2 linked regions of the Nothobranchius furzeri genome follow. The protein of the gene in region 2 purifies or fractionates together with the protein of the main gene of each other region. This does not show direct contact. Links are inferred from orthologs where the notes say so. Each region holds a gene or a part of one and is shown on either strand. Other genes may lie near its edges.

Evidence for each region.
Region 1: the proteins of fbl (region 2) and snu13b purify together in Homo sapiens (affinity purification with mass spectrometry; 5 studies listed by BioGRID and IntAct, with this or other methods). This does not show direct contact. The link is inferred for Nothobranchius furzeri from reciprocal best matches to the Homo sapiens genes FBL and SNU13.

Annotation. Positions count from the first base shown.
Region 1 is NC_091756.1:29,116,753-29,124,614, reverse strand, and holds snu13b (NHP2-like protein 1), read right to left. Parts: upstream 4,205-7,862; 5' UTR 4,027-4,204; coding exon 4,024-4,026; intron 3,862-4,023; coding exon 3,741-3,861; intron 696-3,740; coding exon 433-695; 3' UTR 243-432; downstream 1-242. Other genes in the region: uqcrc2b (cytochrome b-c1 complex subunit 2, mitochondrial), read left to right, coding at 4,923-4,955, 6,002-6,070, 6,334-6,483, 6,659-6,723, 6,810-6,866, 7,225-7,349.
Region 2 is NC_091745.1:58,449,537-58,457,309, reverse strand, and holds the start of fbl (rRNA 2'-O-methyltransferase fibrillarin), read right to left. Parts: upstream 5,317-7,773; 5' UTR 5,197-5,316; coding exon 5,187-5,196; intron 4,399-5,186; coding exon 4,288-4,398; intron 3,919-4,287; coding exon 3,775-3,918; intron 1,671-3,774; coding exon 1,576-1,670; intron 1,497-1,575; coding exon 1,326-1,496; intron 1-1,325.

The sequences.
Region 1 (7,862 bases), on a different chromosome or scaffold from region 2:
GACGATAAATTTTTGATTTATTGCCCTAGATAGCCCCAAATAAATCATTTCACATGTCGGCAGCCAACCTAATACTACACTACACTACAATCTCCATACACTAAATGTTACCTTGGTGTTCCTGTTCCATATTCAACCTTTAGGTTTTCTCACATTTCTGCTAAATTATGTAGAAAATCAGATTTTGCTGCACAGTACTAAAACTCTTAAACTGATGTTTCACAAGGCTGCTCACAGTCAAATAAAGATTTAAAAAGAATGACTTTATTAAACAGGTGATGGCTGTGCAAAGTGAAAACTAAAATCAACTTAAAAAAGCAAACAAAATATCCATTTGATTAGCACTTTTTTTTTCTTTTACCAAACATAAAATAAGATGGAATTGTGGATGCATCAACCCAGCTGAGCTGCTGTTGAAACAGTGCTTAGAAATCACACCAGCAGTCTCTCAATAGCCATCTGAACAGACTGAATCTGTGGCTTGAGCTGAGAGCCCTCCTTTATGGTGACAGAGGTAGCAATGACGGGGCGCGACACCCCACAGGCTCGGCCCAGCGCCTGCTTGGAGCGGACAAACACATACGGCACGTTCTTGTCCTCGCAGAGAAGTGGCAGGTGGAGGATGATCTCCAGCGGTTCAGCGTCAGCAGCCATGACTATAAACTCAGCAATGCCTCGGTTTAAAGTCTTAGTGGCTGAGGAAACAAAAGAAATACATTAATGTGTGTAAATCAAGACTACAGAGAAGTTAAGCTTATGGATGATTTATCTTTTAGTAGGAATGTAAGAAAATATCGAAATAGCAATATATCACAATATTTTTTCCTGTGATATTATATCGATGTTCAAAAGCTGTGTATCGATTTTTTTTGGAAGAATTTACGTGCAAACATTTATGTATTTTCTTTTCTTTTGGTGCAAATCAAATGCCGTCCGCTAGTCAGCAGTAGTGTGAATGGAGTTTGTTTCCACCACTGAAATGTAAATCCCTCTATTTTGGTTCAGATACCTCATGTTAATCATGTTAAGTATCAGTTTGGGCCATTTATTGAATTTTCCTACAATAATTTTAGTCTAAAAAAATCGCTAATATTTTCCGGCTGAATATATCGCAATATATCGTGATATATTGTCTCCCCTGTATCGTGATAAGTATCGTATCGCCAGAATTTCACCAATACACATCCCTATCTTTTAGCATTTGTATATGCAGAATTGTTTAAAAACAACCCAAAAGCCACATATTTGAGAAATATGGCATTATTTTAGTAGACTGCGTTTGATAATGTAAAATACTAAAATGACATTGTAAGTCTTAAAGGCTGCCCTTTGTCACCCGTTCTGTTCATAACTTTTGTGGACAAGATTTCTAGGCGCAGCCAAGGTGTGGAGGAGATCTGTTTTGGTGGCCGAAGGATTGAGTCTCCGTTTTTTGCAGATGATGTGGTCCTGTTAGTTTCATCAGAACGTGATGTCCAGCTTTCACTGGAGCAGTCTGCAGCAGAGTTTGAAGCAGCTGGGATAAGAATCAGCTCCTCTATGTCAGCGACCATGGTCTTGAGTCGGAAGAGGGTAGAATGCCTTCTCCGGGTCAGGGATGAGGTCCTCTCTCAAGTACAGGAGTTTAAGTGTCTCTGGGTCTTGTTCACGAGTGAGCATGAGGTCGACATGTGGATTGGTGATGCATCTGCAGTAGGGCTGGGCAATATGGCCTAAAATCAATATCACGATGAGGATTTCACCTCGATAACGATAAACGGACGATAACTACAGGAATGCGCAGAAACAAAAGTTGTCCACTAGATGGGGCTGTCACATGTTTTACATTGAGTCATACTTTTACGAGGTGGTACAGCTTCTTAAAGGGACATGAACGTTGACAACCTACACACATCTTGACATGGGAAAATTATCTCGATAAGTCAGAAAATTTGATAACGATACATTTTCGATTTATTGCCCAGCCCTAGTCTGCAGAGATGCGGACATTGTACCGTCTGCCATGGTGAGAAGAGAGCTGAGCCATAAGGCGAAGCTTTCGATTTACGTTCCTACCCTCACCTATGGTCACCAGCTTTGGGTATTGACCCAAAGAATGAGATTGTGGATACAAGCAGCCAAAATGAGTTTTTTCCACTAGGTGTCTGGGCTCTCCCTTAGAGATAGGGTGAGAAGCTTGGTCATACAGGAGGGGCTCGGAGTAGATCCGCTGCTCCTCCACATTGAGAGAAGCACGTCCAATTGGGAGGAGACTTATGCCCAGAACACACCAGCTGCGAAGAACCGCGGAGTGGATTGCTCACAAAATTTGTGCGCTCTCCGCTCCTCTTCTGGTCACATCAGGCGAGAATTTTCAACGAGCACTTCTGCTCACGCCTACTGTTTTCTAAACATGCCCTTGCTCTGTGTGTGTGTGTGTGTGTAACCAGTTTGCCTTGCTTGTTGATATTGGACACTGTGCTGATTCTGCTGCTGTGCATTTGTTTGTATTCACATTTATTAAATCCATCTTTTGCTGTAAACACTGAATTTTAAATTATGGTAACACTACGTTTTTCTGCAGGTGTGTGTTTGTTCCTTTTCATCTCTCTAGTCTATTTAGATACACAAACATGATCACTTTTATCAATTGCAGTGTTTTATTGTGAATTTTTTTTTTGTTAAATTTACCAGCCTGCCTCTTCTGCTTTAGTTTACTTCCTGCCAGAATTGTTCACTCACGGCTCACGTAAAAATAGAGCTCACGCCAAAATGATCGCTGCACGGAGCGAGCCTTTGTGGCGCTTCCCAGCTGATGTGACTGAGAGCATAGGTTAACAGGGACAAAGCGCCCGTCGTTCAACAGCGCTTCCTTGCTACTGTATTATCTGGGTGCCTCGCCTCTGACAGTGCACCCAGGGCAGCTGCGGCTACATCGTAGCTAATCACCATCAGTGTGTGAATGTGTGTGTTAATGGATGAATTACACACTGTAGAGTAAAGCGCTTTGGAGTCCTTACTCTGAGAGGCGCTACACAAGTGCGGGTCATTTATCATTATCATTTGAACTAGATTAGAACCAATTCCCTTTCAGCCAGACTAACGCGTTATATGCATTTTAAAAAACTACAGAAGTCTTTTTAGGGCAATACTTTGGTTCTCTAGTGTGCATGTTAAGGCACTGTATATGTCATGGCTGACCAGGGGAGACCTTGGGATTCTGCGGGAGGAGCTGGCCCAAGTGGCTGAGGAGAGGGAAGTATAAGCCTCTCGACGTAGACTGCAGCTGCCGTGACACGACCCCGGATAAACTGAAGAAAATAGATGGATTGGTCTTAATGCGCCATTCTAATTTTTGATAATGCAGCTGCCATCAGCCTCCAGTGAGGCAAGTGTACAGCGCTGCAGACACGCACATGTAAAGAAGAGCTTCCTGCTTCCTCTGCCGCAGGATAGGAACATCTGTCACATGTCGATGTAAAATTCAGATTTAAAGTATTACATATGAAAGGGACCCAGGTCTAACTTGATAATTATGACGAATATGTGTTGTGAACGTCATTAAAAGCAGATGTGGGTCATAAAAAGCAGAAGTGGGTCACATCTGAGAAAGAAATTCTGGTTCGACCATTGAGTCAGCAGTGAGAACACGGCCTATGATCCAATAATTACATGTAAAAGCAAAATTTTCACCTTCTACGTTTGTTTCGTTACAAATTCTGTTATAAATGTTGAGTAAAATAGCCGAATAGTTTCCACACCTTCGTTAGCTCCCTTCCTCAGCTGCTTGTAGTTGGAGGCTTGCTGCACCAGGTCCAGGATGGTTTTGGTCAGGGTGGCGTCGGCCAGAGGGTAGGCCTTTGGGTTCACTTGGGGCTCACTCTGGTCACAAAAATGAGAAGGTTCAAAATAAGCTTCAACAGAACAAACCAGCTTTAACAAAAATCACATTATCTTATTTTAAGAAAGCGCACAACCGTGTGTTCTTATTCATGCTACATGCAAGCCCGTCTGTTAGCCTATTAGCTCTTACACTAAGCTCACCATTTTTGTAATCCGGCCCTCTCGGCGAAATGCTTCACGGAGGACTATTTGATTTGTCTTCAGAATATAAATACAATCGAAACGTGAATTATTCTTGTTTCATTCGAGTTTTAATAGCGCCACAAAACGACTATTATCTGCAGCATGCACTAGATCCAAACGTTGACCCCACGTGTGTGATGGTCGTCAGGCTGCACATGCGCACAGGGAATGTAATTTTTTCAAAACAAACTTTATTAACAAACAACATGAACAAACTGAAAAATACTTTCTAAAGTTCAAATAAAGTTATTTTAAAACAGCTTTCGAGTGTGTATCATGGTGTGTATTGCTTTATGACACTGTAAATGTCGAGGGGATATCTTATAAACCTTTAATAAAAAAAACAAAAATATGAAAGAAGGTTTAGACTTTTTATCTTTGAACCCGTTTTCGTTTTAAACCTGAGGCGTTTGTGGGCTTTCATGAAGTCGTTTTTTTTTCTAAATTGTGGACTGTGACTATTAGTTGTGGGAAAATGCTTTATAAAGATGATGATGATGATGATGATGATGATGATGATGATGATGATGATGATGATGATGATGATGGAAAGTTAATTATAGAATTACTAATTATGTAAATGCAAAATATTAATCAGTGTCACGATCTAATCAGATTTAATTTGCCAATTATTTTCCACACACAATCAATTTGATTCATATTTCCCATTTGCTGTTCTCGAACTCTTTGTTTTTTGTGATTTTAGATCTGGAAAAATTGTTGATGCAGTTTATTTGTTGGTCTGAAGAGGGCGCGCGGTTTATGCAAGCTAGAGATGAACGCGCTATGCATTCTGGGTAGGGCACTTTCCATTCAGCCATATTGTATCGTTGTCCTGGCTGAAGGAGACAGGAGAGATGAAGGGGATTCGGGGAATCAGTCAGTTAACGGTGAGAGCTGACTTTATTTGTTCTGAAAGTTTGCGTGACGGGATCAGTGTTCCCATCCCATCCAGTCGCTGTCACTAACTGTCTTTGGGTGGTTTTAAACCATACCTGTCTTGTCTTGGAACAAGCAGCCGGCTAAGCTTGACATGACTGTTTAATCTGAAAACTTGATGTGACCAAGAATAACTATTTTTCTAGACATGTATGTATATGATCATGAATTAATCTCCACTGTGTTAGGCTCTAATGACTGACTCCTCAATTGTTTAAATGTAAGATAATTAACAACTAGCAGCTAGCTAGGCTAGTTAGCATACCAGAGGGTACGTAGTAGCTTTAGCATTTTTCAGAAGGCTTAACTCTAGGTGTGTGTATCTCACTCAAATACATATCTGGATCGGTGAATGAAGACTAAAATTATCAAGTGATTTTCATTTGGAAAGAAACCTTCAATCTTTGTACGACAAAAGCACATTTTAAAACATGCAATTAACAAAAAGGAAATCCCAACTGTTCATTCACTCGGGGACACACAAAACACACACTTATTCAGGGTGGGTTATCTCTCTTTAAAGTTGGTTCAATGTGAAATTAAAGATGGACAGTCATTGGTGCCTTAAAAGATTTACCAGCATCAGTGGCTGTCTCCTGATGTCCATCGTCTACTGGTTTGGATTATAATCTGGCAATGAGGAATCTGATAATGATAAATCTAAAGCGTGTTTTCTATAAACTGATTGTATTTCAACAGTAAATACAACTAGTTTTTGTACAATAACCCGTAAATATGTGATAAAGATGCAAATTAATTGTTTAGAGCAGTTATAGATTGTGAATTGTCATCAACATAAGGTGCTTTAAAACATTGAAATGTCACCTTGAAGATGCTTGCATTTGATTTTGGTAAATGTAGAGGAACCTTGGTCCTGTGTTTGTACAGTATAATATTACCCTTGAAGAGGTGAACACTCCTTGTTAAAACTCATTTCTAGTGCCCTTGCTTCAAAGCAGCATGGCTTTAGTTGTTTTGTTGTGTTGTGTTTCTCCAGACGAGGCTGTATGCAGCCCAGGCAGCCCGTAAGGTGGAAGCCACTGGGTTTCAGCCACAAGATGTTCAGGTGAGTAGCTGATGTAGGTTTAGGTGTGATGGTATAAACTAATCTGTTTATTTTCTGCTTTAACCGTTTACCTATTTTTTATTTATTTATTTATTTTTTGTCCAGCTGCATGTAATTAAACTGGGGTCTCATTCATTAAACATTTGTAGAAATATTCCTATATTCCTTCCTTCGGTTGATAAATGAGGTCCCTGGATCTTGGACAAGCCTTTCATGCTGATTGTCTGTTGTGTGACGCCGCTCACACGTGTGTTTATGTCCAGGTAACCAAACTGCCCAGTGGGCTGGTGATTGCATCACTTGAGAATTATTCCCCAGCCTCAAAAATTGGTGTCTTTGTTAAAGCCGGCTGTCGCTATGAGACCTCTGACAACCTGGGCGTCACCCACCTCCTCAGGCTGGCCTCCAATCTGGTACGACAGTTCAGTACAGCTTACAGTAGTTGTTGTCCTCATCAGCCTTCTGGGCTGCAAAATCTTTATTATTATTAAGAAATGTAACATTTAAGCCTTTTTAATTCTCTCCTGTATTTTAAGACTTTGACATTTGTCTCGTTTTGATAGCAGTCTGCTTTTTTTCATTTTACAGACAACCAAGGGAGCATCTGCGTTCAAAATCTGCCATGCTATCGAGGCAGTTGGAGGCAGCATGAGGTCAGAAATGACCTCCTAAAAACTGATGTAGAAAAGTTGAGGCTTTCACAAGTGCTCACTGTGAATATTTTCATGTTTCTGTGCAGCGTGACTTCGTCCAGAGAGAATATGGTGTACACTGTGGACTGCTTGAGAGACGACATGTAAGTGCTTAAACAGGCACTTGTGATGGGAATGGCTATATTTTTAAAATGTAACTGGTAAATGGCTGCATGGCGGCGCCGTTGTTAGCACTGTTGCCTCGCAGCACGAAGGTTGCAGGTTTGAAACTCGGCTGCAGCCTTTCTGCGTGGAGTTGCGTGTTCTCCCCATGCATGCGTGGGTTTCCTCCGGGTACTCCAGTTTCCCCCACAGATCACAACATGCTCTATAGGTTATAAATTGTAAGTCGCTTTGGATAAAAGCGTCTGCTAAATGAATAAACATAATAATAATAAACTTAATAGTAACTCTCCCTTACAAACCTTGAGCTTTTTCCTCCATCTTTCTATCGTTCTGCAGCGATACGGTGATGGAGTTGCTGATAAACGTGACAACAGCTCCAGAGTTCCGTCCGTGGGAGGTGTCTGAGCTCACACCCAGAATGAAGCTGGACAAGGCTCGCGCTGCACAGAGCTCTCAGATAGGTGGCTCTTTTTATTTCTCCTACAGTACACACACACACACACACACACACACACACACACACACACACACACACACACACACACACACACACACACACACACACACACACACACACACACTGAAACGATCACAAAGCATTAGAAAGAGTAGATGGTGTCCCGCTTTTTGTGTTCCACTTGGTTTAGCGTGATTAAAGTTGTGGAACACTGAAAATCTATTTTTTCAATTAATTTTTTCTGATTATAATGGGTCATTCTGTTTTTCATGCAGGCTGAACATGAAAATAGTCTCCTACACCTATCTCCTGCAACAGTCTCTGATAGAAAATAGATGGCGAAACTCTAGGATTTGAAAATCCTGACATATCTACGTCACCCTGTCCTTTAACATTCATGGACTCACTCATCTTGACTCACAATGAGGAGGGCTGTTGTTGTTTTAATGTCCAGGAATCAGCAGCAGACATCTTGGCTAGTTTAAGTTGGCCGTTAGCAATAGCAACTTCACCACAC
Region 2 (7,773 bases):
GGTGTGATCAAGTCACTGCTTTGCGAGTCACAAAGTCTTTCTAGTCAAGTCCATGTCAAAGACAATCAAGTCCAATTCGAGTCCAAAGTCAATGATGTGAAAGTCCAAGTCAAGTCCTTAACTTTGAATTTTCAAGTCATATTCAAGTCATCTGTCCAACTTCAATTTAATGACAATGATAATAAATAAATTCCAGAAATAAAGCTTCTTAAAGCTTCATTTACTTGCTCAAACAAGCAGAAAGCGCAACTGAAGTTGATTATGAACAAAGTGCTGCTGCATTTAGCAGAGCAAGATCAAACCCAGAATGAAGAATGATTTATGATTTTTGTCCATGTCGTGCCACTTTTGTGCTAAAATATTTAATATGCTCAAGTCATCATCAAGTCAATAGATGCAAGTAGATTCAAGTCGCAAGTCACTGGTGTTCAAGTCTGAGTCAAGTTGTAAGTCTTTATAGATTTTATCAAGTCAAGTCAGAAGTCATTAAAATAATGACTCGAGTCCAAGTCATGTGACTTGAGTCCACACCTCTGCACTCTTGCATTAACTGGAGTGTGTGACACACACTGTACCTGCAGGCTACTGAGCCGTCAGACTGCAGGAGCGTGCGTGTGTAAATTCTTGCCGTTTGTATCATCATTGTGTTTTACAGGGAGTCAAAATTCTCCCATACATGCAACCTAAATGATGCAGGAGGTATTTCAAGCTCCTCTCCTCTTCAAGCGTTTCTCCTTTAAATGGAACAGGTAGTGCCTCCGCCCTTCACGTGGCCGATCTGCGAACCGCGCCCAACCGTAGAGCGAGATCTGAACGGATTGCGGATCAATGTTGGTTGCACCCCCAGGGCACGGCCACGATGTATCCCAAACGTGTGGACACAGGGGGAGGTGAACGCCGGTAAAAATGACAAACAAAGCTTGGGCACCACCCGGGCGGTAAGTCGTCAATTATTTACTGCTCGACAAGAACATTTACCGCCAATGGCGCTCAGGCAGTTAAAAGTTTCCACACCTGCAAATGTAGAGAAAATGTGAGATAATGCTCATGTGTGCTGCAGGAAAACTTTTCTTGATTGTTAGCTCTGCGATGTTCTCTGTGCGTAACGTGCTACAAACTTACTCGAGGCCAAATAAACAAATCACCTCTTGTAAAAAAAACAACTAATGGCTCAAGCCATCGTCGATGGTCGAATAATTCGTCCCATCGCCCAACCCTAGTGCACACATAAATACATTTTGGTCAAGGTCTGTATTTGACAACTGTTGTAAACACACACACACACAACACACCATTAGTTGCGTCGCACTGAGTGTTGAACTTACCGGACCTACGATGTCAGACACGTGAGACACAGTGGTACCAGAGGCAGCGCCCAGATACATGACCTTGGCTCCAGGTTTGATATGGATCTGGTCAATTCCTCCCAAGATGGCAGCAGCCAACTTTGAGCGGAAAGGATTCCATGCTCTGTACTCAATCTTCGTCTCCCCTTCCTAAAGGATGGACACCCAGCCGTTATCATTGTAAGGAAAAGCGATTAGTGATGCAATCCAGACAAAACTTCTCTCTCACCTCCACACTCATCCTCTTCTCCCCATAGACAGACTCTCCTACAACCATATTCTTGGTCACCAGAGCATCCTCCTTCCCTCGGCAGATAAACACTCCTGACAAAAAACACACAAGTTAGAGCTCAAACACTCTCTAGCTTACTCGCTCCACATACAACAGCTACTGTTGTGGTGAATCATTTCAGCAAGGGAAGGGCCCAACATGCTACCAGCATTAGCCAACTACCTAGGGCGTTTCTCAATTAGGGTTGTCACGGTAACCGGTGTAGCGGTAAACCCCGGTAAAAAAAGTTGGCAATAATAATAACCGTCTTGTTTTTTAAAAAGTATATTATCTCGGTGGATTACCGTGGCTGCGGTGTAGGTGCGGTGACCCTTACCAGCCACCGTATCATCTGCTGATGTTGCCGGCGGCACATGCGCGCTTTGTTGTCTACAACCAAAACTTTCTTGAAGCTAAAGCTGAAATAATGGCCAAAGGAGGAGACGGCAGTGCTCAGGACATTTATTATCCCTCAAAGAAGACAAAGTGGGAAGTACGGGCATTTTTTTGATATTTGAAGAATGCCGAGGGACAGTTGATAGAAGACGGCTATCCTGTTTGCAGCACGTGCAGAAAAAGTGTCTGTGAAAGGCAGCAACGCTTCAAATCTCATGACACATCTGCGTGACCATCACCCACAACTCTACAGTCAACGTAAGGCAAGCTAACGTTAGCGTTTTAGCTAAAATGCGTGATCCGAGGATTTGGGTTGAGGGAGAATGCAACGAGTCGCTATATAAAGCAGCCGCAGTGCCGCTACCTGCATATAAACCGTGTCGCGGACACCGCCATGTTGAAATAATGCTATGCATTACGGGGCTCCCAGGGGCAGATAAGAGTTGGTCTCTCTCCGAGGCGTTGCTGCCTTTCACAGACACTTTTTCTGCACGTGCTGCAAACAGGATAGCCATCCGTCTTCTATAAACTCCCTCGGCATTCTTCAAATATCTAAAATATGCCCGTACTTCCGACTTTGCGTTCTTTGAGGGATAATAAATGTCCTCCTGAGCGCTGCCGTCTCCTCCTTTGGCCATTATTTCAGCTTTAGCTTCAAGAAAGTTTTGGTTGTAAACAGCAAAGCGCGCATGTGCCGCCGGCAACTTCAGCCGATGATACGGTGGCTGGTAAGGGTCACCGCGCCTACACCGCAGCTACGGTAAACCCACCAAGATAATATAGTTTTTTAAAAAACAAGACGGTTATTATTGTCAACTTTTTTTTAACCGGGGTTTAATGCTACACTGGTTACCGTGATATCCCTACGGCTGATCGGTCTGCTTTGATCTATTTTGAAAATTCCGATCAAAACCGATAGGGGCGCTATCGGCCGATTACGATCAAATGCCGATCTATCGGTGCATCCCTACTGCCCACAATAAAAGGACACCCTGCCATGTGCAGTTTGATCAAACAAAACAACGCCACCGATGTCACAACCCTTGAGGGAGCGAGCAATTGGAATGCTGACTGCAGGAATGTCTACTAGAGCTGTTTCCCATGAAGTGAATGTCCACTTCTCTACCATAAGCCGCCTCCAAAGACATTTCACCTGCAGTCACATGATGCAAGTCTGTTCTATTTAACCATTTTCTTTGACCAAAGAAGGACTGTGTCCTCGTAAGCAAAGGCGTCTGCCCTAGCCAGACATCGCCTTTCGAGGCCAGGCGCCTTGACATCAAGAAACACCCCTTATGGTTCTACATGGAGAAGCCGGCTCAGTCTTCTCTGCAGGCAAGGATTTGGCCACACGATGGGTTTTACAACTTTCTAGGTAAGAATGGAAGTCAAGTACTTCTGGAATTCACATCTAAAACCATTACCCATAGCTTAAAGAGGAGCCGTGGCTGCTGCTACTCATTCCTGCACACACTCCACCACTAGACTAAACATACAGCCAATTCTCAACGGGCAAAACAGATAAGTAAATGTATAGCTATGATCCTACAGCACTGAACAAAGCTGAAGCTGGTTTCCATTTCTAGCTCCTGATTCAGAAAACTGATTTTTAGGACACCCTGAGCCTCATTTACCCTGCTCTAATTTTAAAACTACAATCCTTAGTTTTCACATCTGGACTAGGTCATTCTAGACCAGCAATCGCTAACTAACGTGCAAGATAAATATTGGATTGTTCGATCACAAAGCAGAAATACAAACCTTCGTGTCTGTGTGGCTCAATCAAGACCTTCTTCCCTCCTCCAAAGCCCCTGCCACCACCCCTACCTCCTCTTCCTCTAGGAGTGCCTCGGCCGCCTCCTCTCCCTCTAAATCCTCCACCATCAGGGGACCGAAACCCCCCACCTGAAAAACAAAATGTCTCATTGGAATCTGTGCTGCATTTATGAGTAGGAAATACGTTTAACATCAACTATCACTGAGGTGAATTATTTTGTCAAAACATTTTTGTGGACTAAATGAAGCAAAAAATCTTGGATAAATGACTAAATTGATCAGACATTTTTGAACAAATAAAAGATTATATTAAAGATGGCGAGGACAAAAACCCATTCAAAAGACGGGAAAGATGCGAGTAACAGACATAAGACCACTCAGACTAGGTGAGAGAACCAATCAGAGCCCGCCTACTGAGGTGAAGAGGAGCTAGCTTCTGTTTAAACAAGCTCACAGGTGTTAAAATTAACACATTTGTGCCTTCGACAGCATCCTCACCTCTTCCTCCACGTCCTCCACGATCACCAAACCCCCCACGTCCTCCACGATCACCAAAACCCCCTCGTCCTCGTCCCCCACCTCCTCTTCCTCCTCTGTCCCCACGAAAACCTTAAACAGAAGGACACATCAGACACATTTAAACAGGAGACAGTGGTCTCTAAATGATGTCATTGTACTTTTATATGGGCCAATAGTACTTGTTTACTTGTCACTGACAGTAAAGCAATCATCTCCCTCTGAGGACAACTTGTTTTTTTCTGGAAATAAATCTTTAAAAGTTTATCTCAAAAAGACCAATTAAAATATTTTACCCAGAGAGGTTTTTAAACTATTGATTTATGTTTTCTAAACTTAAAAATCCATAAATCTGAACTTTACTTTAACCTTTGTAACAGCAAAAACTCAACTCTGCTGCAAAGGAACCTCTAGATGAGGAAAGTGGCTTCACCATTCAAGGGTTTAGGATTTAATGTTCTTCATGCTGATAAATATCAGCTTCCTCTGTTGGTGACGCGCTAGCCACACACACGAGTTGTACAGTTCGTGTTTTCTGAGTTGATGCACTAAAGTTTTACTTTCCTGTGTTTTGCTCGCGTACTTCGGTGAGTCCGTAGCACGTGCCTTAGCCGTTTACAACTAACAATGATAATATACGGTCTAATTGTTTGATCTAACAACACAGTTGTGTCTCTTGAGCTCACTTAAGATCCTAGCCATTCGTTTCTTAATGCTTGAACACTGAGAACGGTAACGTTCCATGATAATGTTCCCGGACATGCAGGGCGCTGTAGCCAGACACACACACACACACGATCCAAACCAGGCCCGTAAAGACAAATAAAAACCATGAGTTGAACAAGTCCAACTCGTCATTGTAACAAGCACGGGTACTCTACCTGGTCTCATGTTGCCCAGAAAACAGCCTTAACCCGATCAAAAATTAAGATTCTTATGTTTTTCTCCCGAATGCAGCGTTCAGATCAAGCAGCGTGCGTACGTGCACATGCTCAAAACGTGTTTTCTACTTTGCGGTTTTATGGCAGTCCGCCTAAAACTGTACGTGCACTAACTCCACCTAGCGGTCTGGAGGGTGACCGGCACCTTACCGCTTTGACAAAAACAACAAAAGAATAAGTGTTTCTAGTGATCTTGTACGGCCATTGGTGGGCAAACTGGTGAAACATTGACCCACTATGAGACTGGTTTAGGTTCAAGAGACTGGTTTAGGTTCAAAAACATACTGATGAAAAATATATGAAAATCTGGAATCTGCAGCACCGAGGCACTTGACCTATTACTTGACCTGCCAACTACCGGTAACTTAAAAATGTTTTAGTTGCTTAAAAGCTGATGTACTGAAAAGTGTTAATTGCTGTCAGGTATTTTTATAAATCCTTGAAAACTGCTGTTAAGTCTCTTCTAGAAGAAAATTAGATCATTTAGTGTTGAATAACTACAGACCAATAATCTCCTCTTTGGGGAAATTACTGAAAAACAGTTATGATCCAGCTGAACAACTTTTTGGAGACAGAAAACTTGCTGGTTGGTTTCCAGTTCGACTTTAGACAACACTGCAGCACTGAGATGGCACTGATTAAGGATTTAAATGAGTTTGGTCTCAATACAGGATTCAGGCAAAACATCTGCTCTGGTGATGCTCCATCTGTGGACCACAACATCCTTCTTGATAGGCGTCGTGAGCACCTGCCCCTTTTGCTCGAAGTGTTCAAAGTTCCTTTTTTTCGGTCGTTCGTCAGATTTTACCATACACAACTCAGATGCTGTGTAGCAACTTGTGATGGGCAAGACTCAGTTTAGGCTTTGGTCCATTTCCATTTGGATAACACTAGCTACTCTGACCTAAGGCTCAAAATTGTACAAACACTGCATAGTCTAAGTAATTTTTAATTACTTAATTAATTACTTAATTAATTACTTAATTAATTCATTCATTCATTCAGTCAGTCAGTCAGTCAGTCAGTGTAGTGGCTTGGCCTTTAGGGGGCAGCAGAGCGTCAGCGCTGACGACCTGAAAAAGACACAAGCACGCGTAAAGCCCAGTTCCTGGTTGTTGCTCGTAGAGCTGCGCATGAAAACATCATGCTTCGTGCAGTTTTTTATCGAGCTTTTCTTCCCCTCAACCGACTGTCAGTCTGTCACTATAGCAGCGCCATCCCAGCGCCCAACAGCCAGCCTGAAGTCCACTACAACAGGGTAAGAGTTATCGGACAGGCTGGACACAAGCCTACTTGTTGCTCTAAATGCGTAGAAATGTCACGGAGCGGTGGCCCAACGTTTGTACCTTTAACTTGTCAAGAGTATAGATGTCGATGGTCAGGAGTCGGTGTTCAGTGCAGAGGGAATATTTCCATCGTAGAAGCACGAAAAAACGAGTCTGAAGATAGCTTCCGATTTCAGCTTCTTTTTTCTCTACTCTGACCATCTGCTCTAGCTGAAAAACTACAACAGCCACACTGTTATAGTAGAATAATCTAGAACAGGTTTGGACAGTGTGGCTGTTGTAGTTTTTGAGCTACAGCTGTTCCATTGTTGACCAGATGCTGAAAAAACGCATAAATCAGGCTTTGTTGAAGTTTCACAAATCAGGGAAAGGTTTTACAAATCCCAAACAAGGTTGTATGCCATCTGCTATTATTGTAGAATATTCAAGAACAGGTTTGAACAGTATGGCTGTTGTAGTTTTTCAGCTAGAGCAGAGTAGAGAAAAATTGGGTGTAATCGCCCTTTAGCCGTTTCCCAAATTGGAATCTGGAATCGGAAGCTAACTTCAGCCTCGTCACGAAAAATGTGTGTTTTATGAGGTCATTGGTCCAAACTCCACTACTGTTCAGAGCACAAACACGCTGCAGTTTGAAACAACACGTTAGCTTAAAGAAACATCTACACCAGGTTTCACGTGGTGGTTTAAACTTTTTTAACTGTTTGTTTAGCGAGTTCTTAGGTGTTGCCCCCAGAGGTGGATACAGTTATGTTGAGGTCCGAAGAGGTGAGGGGGACACCCACCTTTGACGTCACTGTGTGGTTTGTTATTTTATTAGTCAAGTTTTATTCAAAACCTCTCACACATGAATTGATCCTTGCATTGTTTTTATTAAGTCACACGTATCACCACACCGTTGGAAGGGACCTTTTGTGGCTTCCGGATCTTGCGGACACAACTACTGTCTTTGGGATGTGTCCAGCCCCCATGGCCCTCCATGGCTGTAGCCTACTGACCCAGAGTGAGACCAGGGCTTCTCAACCTGGATCCGCTGTCCCACATGTTTTCAATGTCTCTTCTTCAGTGCACCTGAAGTTTGCATTATCTTCTCCGAATGACATCAATAGCTTTTAAGCAAAGCTTGTCAAGTCGGGTGTGTGGCAGCAGGGAAATACCTAGAACATACAGGCGACGAACCCCTGATTTAGAGGCTCAGGAACTCTTTGCAAGTGTTTGACTTAATTTGCTGAGTAGGGTGGGAC